Linked DNA regions of Arabidopsis thaliana. The protein of the gene in region 1 binds, or shares a complex with, the protein of each later gene. Each region holds a gene or a part of one and is shown on either strand. Other genes may lie near its edges.

Evidence for each region.
Region 2: TIM17-3 (region 1) and TIM23-2 share a complex: the UniProt entries of both Arabidopsis thaliana proteins name them as parts of the TIM17:23 complex.

What each region holds. Positions count from the first base shown.
Region 1 is NC_003076.8:3,759,110-3,762,958, forward strand, and holds TIM17-3 (translocase inner membrane subunit 17-3), read left to right. Parts: upstream 1-2,078; 5' UTR 2,079-2,382; intron 2,383-2,629; 5' UTR 2,630-2,649; coding exon 2,650-3,051; 3' UTR 3,052-3,237; downstream 3,238-3,849. Other genes in the region: AT5G11680 (classical AGP protein), read left to right, coding at 354-463, 698-809, 936-1,007, 1,099-1,325, 1,423-1,525. UniProt on the Arabidopsis thaliana protein: Essential component of the TIM17:23 complex, a complex that mediates the translocation of transit peptide-containing proteins across the mitochondrial inner membrane. Links the inner and outer membranes.
Region 2 is NC_003070.9:27,381,413-27,385,101, forward strand, and holds TIM23-2 (translocase inner membrane subunit 23-2), read left to right. Parts: upstream 1-1,952; 5' UTR 1,953-2,143; coding exon of another isoform or gene 2,144-2,164; coding exon 2,165-2,731; 3' UTR 2,732-3,112; downstream 3,113-3,689. Other genes in the region: AT1G72740 (Homeodomain-like/winged-helix DNA-binding family protein), read right to left, coding at 294-378, 522-736, 1,126-1,275; AT1G72755 (uncharacterized protein), read right to left, coding at 2,144-2,171, 2,369-2,406. UniProt on the Arabidopsis thaliana protein: Essential component of the TIM17:23 complex, a complex that mediates the translocation of transit peptide-containing proteins across the mitochondrial inner membrane. Links the inner and outer membranes.

The DNA.
Region 1 (3,849 bases):
ATATTTTCTTTGTTGATTGATTTGTTTTGAACACGTATTATTAATCCTAGTCTTTGTTTCTACATTATAGGAACGTTTCGATTTGAATTAGCTAAAAACCTCAATTTTATTTGCTCTTTTGCATATCTGAAATTGGAAGCTGATGATATGTGGATGTTAATTGGCTCTAGTTACTTGGATCTGTGAATAATTATTTGCTAATTTGGAGCATGTTCCTTTGAATTATCTTCTGATTGTCTAAGTATATTTGGAAATGTGTTTATATTCTCATTTGTGTGATCAGGTTACGCAGAGAAGAAGAACAGAACAAGGAATTATATAATCATTGGCTTGATCAATCTGAATTGCAGTTCATGGCGCTAAACCCTCAATTACTACCCAATGGGATGCCTGTTCCCTTTGTTAATGAAATGTTCGTCCTAGTCCGAGATGGTGTTGAGTTTGAAGTCGACAAGATCCCTGGGTTCGTGTTCCCTTCTCTCGTCACGCATGTTTTGGATCTCCTTAAGTGGTTTATTGATTTGATGATTATTGTTGGTCTCCATTTTAGTACCGTTTTGAGTCGGTTTAGATCCACTCATCTAGCATATGAACCATTAAGTTTACTTGTAAATAAGATAAGTCTCAGAAGTGAACAGACATATGAGCTCTGGGCTTTAAACACTTCCCTGATGTTCTTTCTTGTTGTATGATCCAGAGGGCATGGAGGTCATGTTAAGGCCAAGGGGGTGATTTACTTGTCTAATATACGGATGGTCTTTGTTTCAAGCAAGCCTGTTGACAACTTTGTTGCTTTTGACATGCCCCTGGTACAGTAACTTTATCTTATTTTTGTCTCTGATTTAGTTAATACATGGCACAAGTGTAGCTCTGTTAAATTTGGTTATGGAACTACATGCTACATATTAGCTTATGGATTATATGTTACTCTGTAGCTTTACATCCATGCCGAGAAATTTAATCAGCCAATATTTCACTGCAACAATATTGCTGGACAAGTGGAGCCTGTAAGTACAAACTTTCATGGAGAATTTATAGTTTCTTTCCTTGTAAGGAAACTATACATATTTACTTATTGGCATGTAACAAAATTTCCAGGTGGTGCCAGAAAATGAGCATAGAGCTCTATATTCAACACACAGTTTCAAGATCCTATTTAAGGAAGGTGGTTGTGGGACATTTGTTCCTCTCTTCTTGAATCTCATATCATCAGTGAGACAATACAACAGACAAATGCAACAAGCAGCAGAAGCAGCAGCGGCAGCTCCTCATGTTGATCCTCTTCAAGCCGCTCAGACACCTGTGGACGAAATGATGAGACATGCGTAAGTCCCATCAGAAATCAATCGGAAAGTTTTTTGATAGTAGTAAAAGCTGTTGTTCCTCATAAAATCTTGTGTGGTCGTCATTGTGTATGTGCAGGTACGTGGACCCTAATGATCCAACGAGGATATATCTGCAACAGCCATCAGGGGAATCTCAGTTGAGGCGTAGAGCTTACCATTCGGGTGCGGCGGAACATTGAGATACACGGAAAAAAAAAATACAAAGGCTATGAATACAGAAACAGCAACAGATTAGTGTTGCTAATAAGCAAAACGTGTTGTTTGTTTGTTTAAAGTTGAAAACTAAAAGTCTAAAACCATCTGTGTAAAGAAAGATGAGACTTGTTTGGTGTGTGGATGTATCTGGTAAAATTGGAGTCGTAATAATCATAAGTTTGGTTCATATATTGAACAAAATGTGGGTCGAAAACCCTGCCGGTTCGCCTGAACCATGAAAAGTCGGATTTGGCTGATCCGCACGCTCAATTTTCTTCAGCTAAATCGCGAATACTTGAGCTTGTAGTAAGTCGTGGCCACTAGTGGGACACACAAAACCACAAAACATATATTTTGCAAGCTAAAACCCAATGGACTAAGATTTGAGGTTCAGGGTTGGACCATAAAATTTGGAATGGATAATCGGATACTTTAGGTTGGGTTGGTAGTTTTCAATATTGAAATTGGGTTTTTGGACCTTTCCTTAGTTTTTGATTTAAAACAAAATTGTAAAAGAAAATGAAAATACGAAGGTGGCATTCTAGCTTTATTTTCCAGAGAAAGTGGCTTTCCAGCCATTTATTAAAAAAAACAAAGACCAGGGTGTTTTTTTTCTGACAAAACAAATTGTAACACTCACTAGGCATAGCATTCTAGTTAGTTCTGCAGAAATTTATAGCGACACTGGTCCAAATTAGGAGGAGCGAGAGCGAAGGTACGAGTGAGGATTTACAATTGTCGATCGTTTTCACCTAGAAACCCTAATTTCGGGGGCTCGCACGCCCTCTCTGATTAGAAGCGACTTCATTATCGGTCACTAGAATCTGCTGCTTCTTTTCTGGTTAGTGTTTAACCAAGCTCCGTTTTGTTTGCTCTTAATGGAATCAGAATTTCTATCATTCCTAGATTAGTTTCTGTGATGTATATCTCTGGTATTCGGATTCTTGTGCTGAGCTCAATTCATAAGCGGAGGATTTCTTAGCTTCGATAATTAGCCCTTTTCAAAATTTGCAGCTTTTTATGCGGTTTGTTCTTAAGATGATTGGTTCATTCAGTTTTGTTGTGAGATCTCTGACCTTCCTCTGTAGAAACTAGCATTGTCAGGAACATGGACACTAAGAAGAAATCTAAGGAACATGGCCTATACCGTATAGTCAATGCTATCGGTTATGCATTTGGAGCGGGAGCTGTTGGAGGTTCTGTATATCATTTCGTGAGAGGGGCATACAATTCCCCAATAGGTGCTCGATATGTTGGAGGAACACAAGCGGCTAGCATGAATGCTCCTCGCTTGGGAGGCACTTTTGCTGTATTTGGAGGATTGCTCTCAACATTTGACTATGCATTGGTGCGCATCAGGAAGAAGGAAGATCCATGGAACTCCATCGTAGCGGGTGCTGCTACAGGTGGAGTTCTGTCTATCCGAAAAGGGGTTGTTGCAGCTTCAACATCAGCGGTTATGTTTGGTTTTTTTTTGGCTGTACTCAACCCTCCGTTCGGGAGCAAGTAAGCTTTTTGGGTTGTCTTTGATGAGAATGTCATTTAGACTTTCATGATAATTGCCTTTTCGTTATCAATTCTTCAAAATTACTGTTTCATGGAAAGTTTAACAGATTTCGTGGTTGAGAATTTCTGATCATTTTTGTATAAACGTCATCAAGAACTAATTATTGCTATTCAAGTGTTCCTTTTTGAATAGTTTCTTTTAAGTAGATGAAATCTCAGGGGAAAAACATTTGGGAAGGGGAAGATGAGGGAATGAGTCAAAGATATTATTGAGCTCGACAGTCAAAAGTTAAATTATTCCCTGATTTTGATCATTCTGAAAAAAACTCCTTAGTTAAGTCCCAACTAGTGCACACACCAAATCAAGAACCAAATCCATTTCTTGTCAATAATATACACCAAAAAACAACTCAGGTGTACTGAGGCAGATATAATAAGCACAGCCTCAAGTAGATAGATCATCATTCTGGTTTCTCACTTATTTACATACAACCTTTGAAGGAGGATCTTCACCAGTCACCAACACGACCATATCCACTCAAAACCAAAACCGAGAGCCCCAAGAAACCCAAACAGGATCTTTAGATTACATGTTTTTGTCCCTAATTATATCCCTCAAATAAACTTTTTTTCTTTTAACAATCAGAGTTCCTTCTCTTTTGTATCCTAATTCTATTCACCTGGAGTAATAGAATTACAAGAAGAGAAACAAAAGAACAAAAAAAACAAACTGAAATCCCCACTCCAAACTTGGGGCAGGACTGTTTTTAGTTGTTCTGAGAAAAATTACCTGACAAGACTT
Region 2 (3,689 bases), on another chromosome or scaffold:
CAAGTATTATCATACTATAAAACGTCAAAGTACAAATAATTAGTAGTATAAGACTTTACATTTAGAACTCGGTGTTCTCATTTGAGAAGGACGAATCATCTAAGATTGCTGATAGTAGTAATAAGCCATTTGCACAAGTCAATGTAAGATAGAGTTTACACGTGCCAATAACATAACTATCCCTCCCACATATATAGATGATGTCTCTAATAATCTGTTAAGTAGTTTACAAAGCGAGCACATATAATTTTCTGATCTGTGCATAATAAATAGCAGAGAGAAATTTGTCAAACCTCAATGAAATGATAAATGGAACTGACATCAGATCCATTACCATCGGCTAAAGCAGAGAGAGCTTCAAATATCACCCCGTCATACCTGAAAATAGGGACATATCAGAAGTTTAGCAATACATGATGAAGATTATTACTCAGAGTTGATAGACTAGCATTTATGGAACTAGTCTCTCATCATACTTTCTGGCCTCAAGTATGAGAAATAGAGAACAAAGAAAGACAAACCTAGGAGCATTCTTTGTATTTTCATCAGGGATCAACTCAGAAGGTAAAGTACGCCGACCGGGAGGAGGTGGAATAGTAGGAATAGGCCGTGGAATAGTGACAGCATCATTTGCATCTGCAGCCGGAGTGTCGCCTTCCTCTTTGACTTTTGCTGGCCGTGCCTTATTAGTTAAACTTTGAGTACCAGGGGGAACACTCAAGTTACGCCACTTATCCTATTAAGTATTGAAACACACAAAATTTTCAAACTCTTCTTCATAAGACTACCACCAAGTAAAAGAAATCCATAGCAAAATGAAGGACAGTACTACTCTTTCCACCTCAAATCTCCAACTCAACCAAGCTAGCTTTAGGTATTGCACACTTGAATCAATAAAAAAAAAAACTTATAATCTATCCAAGGAATCTCTAATCCTATAACCAATGATAAGAGGCAACACTAATAAAACCTATTGCCAAAAGTTTTGATTTTTTATGGATCTTAAACTAAGCAGATACGACAGAGTACATAATGCACTCCGGGTTGGTCTCAAATTCGATGTCTAGGTTTAATATATGGTTCAACGAGAGTGATTTTAAAGAGGTGAGTGAAGAAAAGAGAAACCTTTAGGTCAATGTTGGAGCGATGGATGAGCTGATCAGCGAATTCTGGATCCCGGAGAATATTCTTCCACTTTCCAGGACCGTGCTTTCTGATTCCGGCGAGTAACGCCTCCTCTTCCTCCGCCGTCCACTTTAGTTTCTGGTTTCCCATCTAACCCTTGCGTGATTTACCTCGTGCTCTCTCTCTCTCTCCAAGACAATCGGCGTGTAAACGGAGTTAGACGCAGTCTCTTCGCCGTAGCTTTCGCCGGAGGTTTCGTTTATTTTTGGCTCTGCGCAGTTGTGTGACTGCGGGAGGAGGTTTCCAGTTTGCAAAACTTTTTCGATTATTTACTTCCGAATTTATGCTTTTTATTTTGTCTTCTATTTACGCTCTCGAAATTAAATCGAATTTTTTTTTTTGGCCTTTTGACTTAAATTAAAAACAAATAAGCTTTGTATTTGAATCCTTAATTATTTTATTTGAAGTTTAGTTCTCTAAATAAAAACTGATGACAAAAAAAATTCATAAAATTAGGTTCGTTCGTCGTAAAAATATTTCTGACATTATAAGAGAAACACCTGAAAATTCGAGGATGTTTGGTTGTCACGATGGATTGCAATTTTGCAAAGTAATTAAGTATGACTTTGAAAAGTCCAATGTTGAAGAGGTTAATTTTGTAAAAATTAAACTTATGGGGTCACATTCGAAATATCAGCAAATACAGTGTGTGGTGGTAAGAGAAAACCAACTTGGGTTTAAATAGAGAAAATAAAATAAATGGGGTTAAGTTCGAAATAAACGTAAACGCGAGTATTAAGCGAATCTGGTACTGCGCGTATCTGGAAACAACTGGACTGAGTCTTTCCCTAAAAACCCTAAACATAGATTTTTAGTTTAGTTTGGTTTCATTTCTCATTTCGGCAACCAAACCAAACATTCAGAGAGACACAACACAACCACATCATCACACGTTTCTCTCTCTCTCTTTCCTCTCCGTCGTCTCTCTCTCTCTAGCCACCACCAAAATCCTTAAAACCTAGACTTTTCTCTTCCATCGATGGCGGCTAATAACAGATCCGATCATGGGTCAGACGAAAACACAAGACTTTACAATCCTTACCAAAACTACGAAGTCCCAATCAACAAATCTCAGTACCTTTACAAGCTTCCTACCTCCCCTGAGTTTCTCTTCACGGAGGAGGCTTTAAGGCAACGTAGATCTTGGGGTGAGAATCTCACTTTCTACACCGGAACAGCTTACCTCGGTGGCTCCGTTGCCGGAGCTTCTGTTGGAGTCATCACTGGAGTCAAAAGCTTCGAATCTGGCGACACTACTAAGCTCAAAATCAACAGGATCTTGAACTCTTCTGGTCAAACTGGTCGAACTTGGGGTAATCGGATTGGTATCATTGGATTGGTTTACGCAGGGATCGAGAGTGGTATTGTGGCTGCCACGGATAGAGATGATGTTTGGACCAGTGTGGTGGCTGGTCTTGGAACCGGAGCTGTTTGTAGAGCGGCGAGAGGAGTGAGATCTGCAGCTGTAGCTGGTGCTCTTGGTGGACTTGCGGCTGGAGCTGTTGTAGCTGGGAAGCAAATTGTGAAGCGGTATGTGCCCATTTGAAGACTGCAAGAGTCTAATTGGCAGACTCTTTTTCGGGTCGTTGTTGAAATTTTTGATAGGGGAAATGGTGAGAATTTGATAGGTTTGGTATGTCTTGGAATCATAAAAATGAAAACTTTATTTGGTTTCTAGAGGTACAACAAGTCTGTATGTCAAGTCATAATGCAGTTTCACTTTGAAGAATAACCTGCAAACCTTTTTCTTATATTCATACTGATTAAATGTTTTGCCGATTGGTAATTTAATTTGTCATGAGTGTGTTTGTTCTAGTTAGTGTTTTATGTTTCTGTTTTTGATCAATGTTAACTCTTTCTTGATTCGTTGAGAAACTGATGTGTTGTATTACATTTGAAAATGAAGCTCTTCTCTCAAGTTTTTTCTTATCATTTTGTTAATTGGGATGGTGTAGTGTGTTCACATAATTGTATACCTCTGTTTATCTCATTGAGTACTAACCTGATATTTGATGGTGTTATTTTGTTACCTATTATATCCCCCTGGTTCTATTTCTCTGGACTGTTCTCTGCTCTTAGCTATTAATTTTGTCTCCAAGATTTCACAAGCTTATGATGATGGATCAGTCACTTTTGGTTTTGTGGTTTTTGGTTCTCAAGTCTCAGGCATATTGTGTAGCAAACCTTCTCTAAACTCTTACCGTCTCTAGACCTTATCAGCTGCTCTAAATGAAGAACAAATAGTGTCCTCTAATCTTTTTATTAAAGCCTTAAACTTTCAGTTTTGCAGCTTGCTTAGAATTTTTGTTTTGTTTCAGAAGATCATGTACCTGCAAAATGACATTTCGTCTGATTTCTTCATTCGAATGAGGGTCTTTACATCAATAAACAAGTCTTCTTTAAAGTGTAGAATTTTACATGAACAAAACTAAAAGAATGTTTCATATACAAAGATAAGGGAACTCCCCACACGCTATGGGAGATCACCCCACTGAACTCTGGAA